Oryctolagus cuniculus: one gene and its partners. The protein of the gene in region 1 purifies or fractionates together with the protein of each later gene. This does not show direct contact. Links are inferred from orthologs where the notes say so. Each region holds a gene or a part of one and is shown on either strand. Other genes may lie near its edges. The genes, in order: SUV39H1, EHMT1 and MECOM.

What was found.
Region 2: the proteins of SUV39H1 (region 1) and EHMT1 purify together in Homo sapiens (co-immunoprecipitation; 3 studies listed by BioGRID and IntAct, with this or other methods). This does not show direct contact. The link is inferred for Oryctolagus cuniculus from reciprocal best matches to the Homo sapiens genes SUV39H1 and EHMT1.
Region 3: the proteins of SUV39H1 (region 1) and MECOM purify together in Homo sapiens (affinity purification with western blotting; 3 studies listed by BioGRID). This does not show direct contact. The link is inferred for Oryctolagus cuniculus from reciprocal best matches to the Homo sapiens genes SUV39H1 and MECOM.

The regions. Positions count from the first base shown.
Region 1 is NC_091453.1:33,884,224-33,888,435, forward strand, and holds the start of SUV39H1 (histone-lysine N-methyltransferase SUV39H1), read left to right. Parts: upstream 1-1,396; 5' UTR 1,397-1,702; coding exon 1,703-1,721; intron 1,722-3,727; coding exon 3,728-3,873; intron 3,874-4,212. UniProt on the Homo sapiens protein: Histone methyltransferase that specifically trimethylates 'Lys-9' of histone H3 using monomethylated H3 'Lys-9' as substrate. Also weakly methylates histone H1 (in vitro).
Region 2 is NC_091432.1:237,913,191-237,916,836, reverse strand, and holds part of EHMT1 (histone-lysine N-methyltransferase EHMT1), read right to left. Parts: intron 3,617-3,646; coding exon 3,472-3,616; intron 2,917-3,471; coding exon 2,839-2,916; intron 1,252-2,838; coding exon 1,136-1,251; intron 215-1,135; coding exon 128-214; intron 1-127. UniProt on the Homo sapiens protein: Histone methyltransferase that specifically mono- and dimethylates 'Lys-9' of histone H3 (H3K9me1 and H3K9me2, respectively) in euchromatin.
Region 3 is NC_091435.1:111,194,896-111,198,541, forward strand, and holds part of MECOM (histone-lysine N-methyltransferase MECOM), read left to right. Parts: intron 1-1,311; coding exon 1,312-2,668; intron 2,669-3,646.

The DNA of each region.
Region 1 (4,212 bases):
AATACCCAAGCTAGAATCACTCACTTGAGGTGGTTCAGGTGAGAAAATTGCCTGTGGCCACACAGTTGAGTGCCTGGCGGAGCCAAGCAGTCAGGTAGCCAGGCTCCAGAACCCAGGCTCTTAAATCTCCTCTCCAGGTCCAGAGGGCCAGCGGTCATGTCTTCCATCACTGTCATGTCCCTGGAGTGGGAGGGCCCTGTCTGCCCAAAGAGACGGGGGTGGGGATATGGGGGGTGGGCACGTGAGAACCAGCATCTACACTCTGTTCTAGAATAGGGCTAGGGGACTGAGGTAGGACTTAGCTAAGCCCTTGACTGTTGAATTCGTGGCAGGCAGGGTAGAATGCCAGACAGGTTAGCCATGTTCCAGCCAGCTCACAGCTGGCCTGGTAGGCAGATGGAATATCTGTTGAATTAACTGCATGACTGTTTGGTGCACTATGTAACACGGGGACTAAGAGGGAGAGGAGCCACAGGAATCAGGCCTGGCCTGAGGGAATGGAGATACCAGATCTGCCACCAACGGTCCACCTCCACTGAATCACGGCACACTCAAGGGCCTGGCTCCATGCTCTGCTGGCTGACCTGTCACCCTCTAGATGCTGAGATCAGTGGGCTACTGACTACGATGAGAGGCAGGTGGAATGGGTCACAGGGCAGCTGGCCAGCAGCAAGACCGACATAGCTGCTTGCCTCGATGGTTCTATGTGGTTATGGACCGTGCGCCCTAACAGGATGCCAGCCTCTCCCAGGGGTCCAGAGAAGCAGAGGGCAGTGACAGGTTTGAAGGACCCATGGTCCGTTGCCTGAGGCTGAGATGAGTCGCCGGGGAAAGGCCAGGCTGGCTGAGCCAATGACAGGTGGCATGGAAACATAATTGTCCCTCTAGTTGCTATGGCTCTGCTCTGGGGCCTAGCTGGGTGGTGTGCGTGGGGTGTAACCAACGGCAGCTTGTCCTGACCTAATCACAGCCTGCCTGCCTGCCTGCCTGAGGCCAAGGCTGGATGCTGGAGCTGATGAGAGGATCTACCTAGGAGCTGGTCCCTGGGCAAGGGCTGCTTGACTGGCCCGCGCCATTGCATTGCGGGGACCGTCTGCGGGAAGGGCAGCCTCGCTAACAGCTGGGTGCCTGCCTCCAGGGAGTCGCAGCTGGCCCAAGGCACAAATGGATGCTGCCATTGACTGACAGAGCATGTGAAGGAGGCGGGGCCTGGCGAGACACCTGCCTGGGGAGACTGACCCATCGCCTATTTGAATAGGACAACTGACTGGGCAGCTGTCCGTGGCGCTGCTCCACGCTGGGTCACGGCCTGCTTGGGGTTAAAATGTGGTGACGGACTGACTGACGGAGGTAATTGGGGGTCTGACAGGACGGAGAATCCCCCGTACGACTGGCTGACAACGTGATTGGCTACCAGCGTGACAGACAGACCGGCGAACGGGCAGGGCCTCGGGCACCCTCAGCTACCGCTACCGCCGCCGCCGCCGCCGCCCAGACGCACTCTGGGAAAGCGCGGCGAGCACCCGCCTCCGGGACCGAGCCGGGTGGCGGGGAGGGGTCCGGTCACGGCTCGCCGGTTGGTCCTCGCCGGTGCTGCTCGCGGGGAGGCGCGGCCAATAGGCTGCGCGTTCCCGGCCACGCCCGCGCGAGCTCTCTTCTCGCGAGGCCGGCTAGGCCCGAATGTCGTTAGCCGTGGGGAAAGATGGCGGAAAATTTAAAAGGTGAAGCAGTGGCGGCAGAGGCGCGGGTTCGCTGGCCGGGCCGGGTGGGCTGGAGGGGTGGCGTCGCGGGCTCGGGGTCCTGGCGTCCAAGGCCACGGAGCCCGGAGCCGGAAACCCGGCGCAGAAAGGAAGGGGCTCGGGGAGCGCGGGCCTGGTGCGCGGGGCTGGGCGGGGCTGAGGGGAGGGGGCGCGCTCCTCGGAACGCGGTGGCCGCGGGGCTAAGTGGGGACGCGGGAGAGGGGCGCGCGCGTTGCAGATCACGACCGGAGCGGCGCGCGCACGCGCAGGGGCTTGTCGGGGAGGCCTCGCCCGCGCGCGGGAAAACCGGCCCCCGGTGACCGTTACCCCTACGGTGTCCACGCGAGACGCCGGAAGGGGAGGGAAAAGAAGCGGGGACGGACCCCCAAGGGGGCTCTTCAAGAGAGAGGGTTCCTCCAGCTGAGGGGAATAGGAGCTTCCCTCTTGGGAGAGCCGGACTCCCCCATGTGCAAGGAAAGCGGGGTGACCATGTTGGGGGAGCTCCTCTATGTGCGGACAGCTGCGAGGAGTGTGCGTTCCACAAGTGGGAGGGGGACCTCTGCGAGGCAGGAGAGCCCAGTTGTGGTCCGCGCCTGAGCCCGTGGCAGGAGGTGTTAACAGGGACCACTTGCGAGGGTTGGAGGGGGGGCGGATTTCACGTGTATGCGAGGGGATTGCATCGCAAGGAGAGGAAAGCGTGGGCCCAGGCTTAGAGTCTCCACTAGGCCTTGCCTAGGGGGTGGGGGGAGCCCACGGAATAATTACGAAAAGCTCTTGTACATTTCTAGATTGACATCTAGGCTATTTCGTCATAAGTTTAAATAGGCTGGAGTTTTGTAATGGCAGGCAGGTAGCAAATATTAGACAGTTTTGAAAGACGAAGTGGGGACGTGGAGTTGAAGTGCTCTGTGACATGCTTTGATAAAATGGCTTCTAAAGCATATTAATTAAGAAGGTGCCTTGCATCAGAAAGAAGGATACATTGTTTTTAAAAATCCGTCTTGAATGATCTTGGTAGCCCCAGAAAGATTCCAGGTATGTTTCAAAGAATGGATGTCACTAACCTATATTGCTTTGCCTGTTGCTGACTTCAGAGCGGTTTCACCTTTCACAGAAATGTGATTGAGACAGAAAGTCAGAATGCAGTGTGGAAGAAACAAACTTTGTAGGTTTAAAGTCCCCAGACTAACCATTCAAGGAAGCTTCCTGTAACATAGTATCATTCCACAGTCCTGTAGTCATCATTCCAAAATCTGAGTGCTGAAAGCTTTTTCTTAAATTTGGCACCATTCATGGCAAAAGGAGATTGATTATAAGGTCGGACTGTCCAGTGAGGTTACCTTATCTTACATCTTTATTTCAACTACTTAATGTGAACCTTTGCACTTTTGCTACAGAGCGATCAGTGCACTTGATTATGGCTTGATGTGCCTGTCCAGGCTGGGAGTGTTTGCACATGGACAGGACATACCTAGAGCTACACTTCTAAAATCCAAAAAAATGCTGAATTCTAAAACTCATCCAGCCCAGGAGCTTCAGATAAGGGGTTGAGGACCAGTCTTTCCAGTTATGCCTTTGTTTGGTGCCCTGGAGGTTTTAATCCCCTCCCCTCCCCACCCCCTCCCTGGGCAATGCACCCTACTGAGATGGGGGGGGTTGTCCCTTTCTTTTGCAAAGTGGAAAGAAAGGTGATCCAGAACCTAGGTTGTTTTAGGACTGGTGTAGAGGGAGTCTGAAGGTCTGGGAAGATTCCTTTAGGCCAATCCCTATAGCAAATGGCACTTGGCGGCACTTTGAAGTTCACTGCCCCAGGGGTAGCCTTGGGCAGTAAGCACTGAGGTTCCCTGGAGTGGCTGTTGCAGAATTTTCCACTTTGGGGAAGACCTGTGGGGTCAATTTCACTACGTCTGGGGTAGCCCAGAGAGGATTTGGAGCCCCTGGCCAGGTCAGGCTGCCCAGTAATGATTCTTTCCGCCTTGTCGTTCCAGGCTGCAGTGTGTGTTGCAAGTCTTCTTGGAATCAACTGCAGGACCTGTGCCGCCTGGCCAAGCTCTCCTGTCCTGCCCTTGGCATCTCTAAGAGGAACCTCTATGATTTTGAAGTCGAGTACCTGTGTGATTACAAGAAGATCCGCGTGAGTCTGCAGTGACCGGGCCCTAGGGGAAGGGGGTAGATCTTGGGAAGTTGGCTTCCTACTGGGTCATGTTCCCGCCACCCCCCCCAATCTGTGCCTAAAAGGGAAATTTCTCTTCTGATCCTGAAAAACTAGGATGAGTAGCCTCTCTCCCCTCCCCATTTTACAGGTAGGAAAACTAAGTGGCTTTCTGAGGGGGCAGAAGCCAGAATGAATCCCCAAGTAAATGTCTCATGCCACGTCCCTAGGAAGGTAAACCAATCGCGGAGACTGAGATGCTAAGCCCAGGAGTGAGCTGGTGATAGCTAATGGTCACTGGGCACTTTCAGTGTGCCAGGC
Region 2 (3,646 bases), on another chromosome or scaffold:
CCTGGGGACAGAGCAGCAGGCACCTTCAGGAATGCGGTTCTGCACACCCAGGGCCTCCCGGCCCTCGTGCCACCCTGCTGCGGACACTGGTTCTGAGACAACCCAGGCAGCGGCAGGTCTCACTTACTCGCAGACAAAGGTGCCCAGTGGGATGTCCTGCAGGGAGCGTACGCCCCAGCCCATGTCCTGTGTCCGATAGAGCTGCAGCCTCGCCCTGGAAGACAGTGCACAGGTGGACACTTGCTGCGTGCTGGACACGACGGGCAGCAGAGCCCAGCTGTGCATAGGGACGTGAATGGTGACTGAGGAAATACTATGATCTAGAAATGGCAGCGCTCGCCAGATTCAAAGGCAGCCGAGAACCCAGAAATGGCCTGGGAGCTCGGCCAGGCACTGGCTCTGGCCTGGCCTCAATTTCCTTGTCTGTAACATGGGGGACATGGCTGGGTAAGGACCAGTGGCAGCCCTTCTGCCAGGACCCAGGCCGTGGGGAGGCCAGCTGAGGGGGCACAGACCACACACAAGGACTCCTCAGAGCCATGTGTGTCCCAGCATCCCGCCCACGGCACGAGCCTATCCACTGGTGCCCAAGGCAGTGGGGGAAGCTGGGTCCCCTGTGTCCAGGACTTTCAGCACACACAGGGATACGGGGCATGGGCTGGTCACCAGCAAGCACACTGCTCTTTGGTCCAGCCCAATCCGCTGCACACGTGGATTTCCCCTCGTAACTCAGACATATTCATGGTGGTCAGGGGGCTCTGTTCTCGTGGCTGGAAGGAGGGCACTGGGGACTACAGGATGAGGGGGCGGCGCAGTCTGGCAAGAGCCCCAACAGCATGGGGCAGTCAGGCATGCCTGAGTATGCGATGGGATGACAATGACTGTGAATGAACTTGGGAACACAGTGACCACGCGACCTGCTCCCTTGGGAAGCAGATCTCCCGGGATTACAGTGACTGTGAATGAACTTGGGAACACAGTAACCACGCCACCTGCTCCCTTGGGAAGCAGATCTCCGTGCTGTGTCCGAGGAAGATCACCCGCTCCACCTGCAGACACCCCACATTCTTGCTGTCAGGACCTCGTGACTCAACGTGAAGCAGGGTGTGGAGCTGTGGTGGGAAGCACCGCTCACCTGAGACCATTCTGCACGACACGGTTGCGGCAGTTCCTCCAGCAGGAGCAGGCGTGGTTGCACTCAAAGATTAAGGGAGGCTCCGCCATGTTGAACTCTGGCAGGAGCCGGCCATCCTGTGGACACACACACCATCAGGACCCGCCACTCTTCGTAAATGAGCAGAGTCGGCGTGTTCACCGAGTGCTCATACCAACAGGTAAACGTCCAGGGAGGGCCGATGATGTGGCACAGTGGATTAAGCCACCAATTGGAATGCCAACGTCCCATGGAGTGCCTGGTTCGAGCCCCAGCTGCTCTCTGCTTCTGATCCAGCTCCCTGTGAATGTGCCTGGGAAGGGGGCAGAAGACAGCCCAAAAGTGCCTGGGTCTTTGCTACCCATGTAGGAGACCTGGCTGGATTCTGGGCTCCTGGCTTTGGCCTCACCCAGCCCTGGCTGTTGTGGCCATTTGGGGAGTGAACCAGTGGATAGGAGGTATTCTCTCTGTCTCTCACCTGTCACTCTGCCTTTAAAAAAATAAATCTTAAAAACAAAACAAAGAACAAAATCCAGACAGCTTTCTGGTCACTCTTTCACACCTAGGGAACAGCCAGGCAGAGCTGTGCACTCAGGGCAAGGCTCAGACCAGAAGCCCCAGCAGGTCTGTTCTCTCTGCTCACTGTAGACCAGAAGCCCCAGCAGGTCTGTTCTCTCTGTTCACTGTAGCCACCAGGGCACAGGTCCCCCTGCTCCACAAGGATGGCCTGGCTCCTGGGCTGTCCTGCACTCTCTGTGGACTGCCTTGTCAACCCCAATTCTGTAGGGGCGTGGCCACCTGACCCATCCCACTCTTCACCCTGATGCTGGGCTGGGTGCACCAGGGCTGTGCCAGTGAGTCCTGGGGCCCGGCAGCTTCATGAGTGTTCTGAGAGTAAGGGCTGTCCTTGGAATGCTCGTTCCCACCCACTCTCCGCACGATCCTATCACAGAGGACACAGACCCTGGACGTGAGCCCCGATGCCTCCAATCCCATCCCCCAACACCAGGGTCACTCACCCCATCACCACCCTTCTAATGTGGAGTCCACTTTGCAGAGTGGACTGCTGCTTCCACCTTTGCCCACCTCTGCTACCTCAGAATACTCTGGCTTCTACTGCCACCAATGACCTCGGAACTCACAAAGCCAATAGTCACAGCCCCATCTTGTTGGACAGCTCTTTCCTGAACAGCACCTGTGATCCCAAGAGGCCCTTCTCTCCTGTCTCCCCGCAGCTGCCTCCACACTGGGCTCCTCCCACCAGCCCTTGTTGGTCACTTCTGAGCCTGTGGCCTTCATCTCTCAGGCTACGCACGCTCAACCAGCACAAAGCAGAGTACACCAGACAACAGAGATGCTGCATGTTCCATGGCCAGGCCAGGCTGACCACCTGGGAGCACGTGTGGCTAACCACTCTCCCCCCCCGACCTCCCCACGTGCAGGCAGCCAGAGGATGCTGGCCTGAACCCCCAGCACTTCTGGAGCCCACTCCTCCGCCCTAGGACCTGCTCAGAGCAGTCTCTTGTGTCTTCTGGTCTGCTGCCTCTTCCCCACCTGACTCCCCTCCACCTCCTTCTCAAAGTGCCACAACAGTCTTGGAATCAGGGAGTTAAGATCAGCGCGTTTGTAAATCCCACAACAGAACTCTCCACCCCAGCACAGGGGCACGCGGAGGGTCTCCTCACCTTATCGTACCAGCAGCGCATGCTGAGCTGACCACACATGCAGTTGCTGGAGGAGCAGTCATCTATGCACACGCAGTACTGCAACAGAGACACGGCACCGTCAGCGGGCAGTCTCTTCTTGTGTCTTCTCTCTCCAGGTCATAGTCACAATTCTGCAACTTACCCTCTGACGTGTGCTTTGAGACAGGCCCCACGGGGAGTGGGAGTGCTTGGGACGCTAAGGAACACACTGAGTGCTTGCAGGAGGAGGAGGTGGGCGGTCAGCAAGGGAAAAGATGGGCAGGGGCCAGCACTCAGGAAGAAGTTACAGAAATCGCACTGCATTGGAGGCTATTCTATAGGACAGCAGCAGACAGAGCCCAAGGCCAGGGAGCTCCCACCAGCAAGGCCACAGGACACAGCTGATCTTGGCCAGACAAGGAAGGGACAGGCTGTGGGTGACAGCTCCCAGTGAGGTCAGGGGCTGGGCAGCTGGTGTTTGCTGTATTCTGCCTTTCAGGGCCATATCCAGGTCAGAGTGCAGCCCAGGGCCAAGCCCAGCCTGGGACTCAGGACGCCCCTCCTGGCAGGAGGCCGCAGGCCCCTTCTGCACCTGTCCTGGCCCGCGGTGGCCCCTCCTCCGGCACCACTGACCTGCAGGTGAGTAATGTTCCTGTCGATGCTCATGGGGGACGTCACGCAGTTCTGAGACACGTACTTGTAGTTGCTGGGGCACGGCTCGCTGTCCACGGCGTTGACACAGGGGATGGGGATGCGCTCGTAGCCCCGGGCGATGTCCCTGCCAGGGGAAGGGGTCGTCACTTCTGCG
Region 3 (3,646 bases), on another chromosome or scaffold:
TGTCTTCCATTTAATTTCTTAAAATAAATGTGTTTCAGGAATGGCCAACAGAGTATATGTTGTTTCTGCATGTATTAAACATGCACAGAAACATTAAAGTAAACTCACATGGACGATTAGCTCATTTACAGCAAAGGAAAATAAAATAAAATACGATACTTTGAAACAGATATCATAAGCCTGCTGACCTGTGAAGTGAGTGGGATTCTTTCTTAGCAAGGGAATCCTTCGGGGTTGCAAAGTTTGGTCTTAAAATATGCTTAGATCTGATGACACATCCATGAAGAAGAAAGACATTCCACTTTCTTGGTAAATTCCTGGCAAAGGGGGCTATTTCACAGCCGTACCCACTGCTGCGTCGTCCTTGCTGGATTGGAGCACTCCCAGCCCTCTCCCCTGCTTACCACAGTTGGCTGTCACACATAGAAGTCAAGGCCTGAGATAACGGGTGAAGATAGGACAACAGTGGACATGTTTCCCAGGAACGGGGGTTTCATAAATGCAGGAAGATTAGCACAGCCACTGGTGTGAGGGGAAGTCAGAGGACGTGATCATAGTTCATGGGAACCAGCAATGCAGGATGGGCTACATTCAATTTAGTTTCCTTTGCAGGCTTAAAATAGAGCCATTGTAAATTATGTCAGTCTTTCTCAAATCATGAAAATGATTGTTAAAAAAAGTCTCAGAATACACAATGTGCATTGTTATGTGGCTTTGATGTGTGAATGATGAGAGTGTATGATATAATGCTAATTAAATAACAGTAGAGCAGGCACAGATATTCTCTTCAAGGGGAGAGGTATTAAAGTGAAATTTCTGGATGAGGGAAAGGCCGTTCTATTTTGTCTTGGGTCCTACGATGTAGAATTCTTTAACTTGTCTAAAATTAAAAGGGTTCCTTTTATGCTTCATACCTAATATATCTTAAGACTTGTGATTTTTTTTAAAGATTCTATTAGTGTCATTATTGGGTGGGGAGTCAGTGCATGCTGGAATTTGACTTTTTCGGAAAGATTTAAATACACAAATATTATGCAAAATATTGTGCAGTGGGGGAATGACAAAATCTTTAAATATATATATATATATATATGGAATATTTGTGCTGCCTGGAGACATTTGTCAGGTTGGATGCCTTGCTTTGGAATCTAGTAAAATGGGGGTTTTCTGTGTTTGGAGCATCCAGATTGTACCCCCGATATCTTTTCCTGGCTTCTTAATTGAAATTTGGGGTAAACCAATTGTGATACTTGCTAAATTCAGAAGCAATTGCCATAAAGCCTGAGATTCTTTTTTGTTGTTTGCACACAGGTGAGGTCTGCCATAAATCCTATACTCAGTTTTCAAACCTTTGTCGACATAAGCGCATGCATGCTGATTGCAGAACCCAAATCAAGTGCAAAGACTGTGGACAAATGTTCAGCACTACGTCTTCCTTAAATAAACACAGGAGGTTTTGTGAGGGCAAGAACCATTTTGCGGCAGGTGGATTTTTTGGCCAAGGCATTTCACTTCCTGGAACCCCAGCTATGGATAAAACGTCCATGGTTAATATGAGTCATGCCAACCCGGGCCTTGCTGACTATTTTGGCGCCAATAGGCATCCTGCTGGTCTTACCTTTCCAACAGCTCCTGGATTTTCTTTTAGCTTCCCTGGTCTGTTTCCTTCCGGCTTGTACCACAGGCCTCCTTTGATACCTGCTAGTTCTCCTGTTAAAGGACTATCAAGTACTGAACAGACAAACAAAAGTCAAAGTCCCCTCATGACACATCCTCAGATACTGCCAGCTACACAGGATATTTTGAAGGCACTCTCTAAACACCCACCTGTAGGGGACAATAAGCCAGTGGAGCTCCAGGCCGAGAGGTCCTCTGAAGAGAGGCCCCTTGAGAAAATCAGTGACCAGTCAGAGAGTAGTGACCTTGATGATGTCAGTACACCAAGTGGCAGTGACCTGGAAACCACCTCGGGCTCTGATCTGGAAAGTGACATTGAAAGTGATAAAGAAAAATTTAAAGAAAATGGTAAAATGTTCAAAGACAAAGTAAGCCCTCTGCAGAATCTGGCTTCAATAAATAATAAGAAAGAATACAGCAATCATTCCATTTTCTCACCATCTTTAGAGGAGCAAACTGCGGTGTCAGGAGCTGTGAATGATTCTATAAAGGCTATTGCTTCTATTGCTGAAAAATACTTTGGTTCAACAGGACTGGTGGGGCTGCAAGACAAAAAAGTTGGAGCTTTACCTTACCCTTCCATGTTTCCCCTCCCATTTTTTCCAGCATTCTCTCAATCAATGTACCCATTTCCTGATAGAGACTTGAGATCGTTACCTTTGAAAATGGAACCCCAATCACCAAATGAAGTAAAGAAACTGCAGAAGGGCAGCTCTGAGTCCCCCTTTGATCTCACCACTAAACGAAAGGATGAGAAGCCCTTGACTCCAGTCCCTTCCAAGCCTCCAGCCACGCCTGCCACAAGCCAAGACCAGCCCCTGGATCTAAGTATGGGCAGTAGGAGTAGAGCCAGTGGGACGAAGCTAACTGAGCCTCGGAAAAACCATGTGTTTGGGGAAAAGAAAGGCAACAATGTTGAATCAAGACCAGCTTCAGATGGTTCCTTGCAACATGCCAGGCCCACTCCTTTCTTTATGGACCCTATTTACAGGTAAGGGCCAGTAGGAGATGATGAAATGTGAGTGCAGATACGAAAGGTGGTTTTAACACTACAAACTCCCATCTTCCCCAAAAGGTTTTTTATTATTATTATTATTATGAGAGAGTCAAGTTGTTTGATCTAGTGAAATCTGTTTTTTTTTTTTTTTAATTCAGAAAATTGGCTCTGTAGGTTTCGACTCATTTTTGGATATCTCTGAGTTTGGAATAAGCCAACAGAATTTCTTTCCCATGACAATAAATTTATTTTTAAACATTGTTTTTTTGGAGTGGAAAATATGTAAAAGTTGTATTTGAAGTGATTTGTCAAGTGGCAGAAGAATGATACTCCTGGAGGATTAATGCAAACATGTATGGGTACCTTTATATGCAAGAGTCTACTCTGTGTTAACCCATCAACACATCCTTTGCATCTGTTCTGTTTCTCAATAGATTTCTTAAGAGCTCTAAGTAAATGTAATGTTAATCACAAAAATCTGTTTTGTATATAACATGAGTAGTTCTCCTAAAAGAATCTCTATTTTTTACAATGATTTATTTATTTATATGAAAGGAAGAGAGAGAGAGAGAGGTCTTCCATCCATTGGTTCACTCTCCAAATGACCACAACAGCCGGAGCAGGGCCCATATGAAGCCAGGAGCCTGGATCTTCTTCCAGGTCTCCCATGTGGGTGCAGGGGCCCAAAGACTTGGACCATTTTCTACTACTTTTCCAAGCACGTTAGCAGAGAGCTAGATCAGAAGTGGAGCAGCCAGGACTTGAACTAGAGCCCATATGGGATGCAGCACTGCAGGTGGCGTGTTCACCCACAACGCCACAATGCCGGGCCCAGAATCTATATTTAATGGCTTAATTATTCAGGTTTGTTTATGAATCCAAAAATTCTTTAGGTGAAATTACGTATTTAATAAAATACCTCTTAGGCAGTATTCTGCAATAGTTACTTAACCATTCAAAGTGATTTAGCTT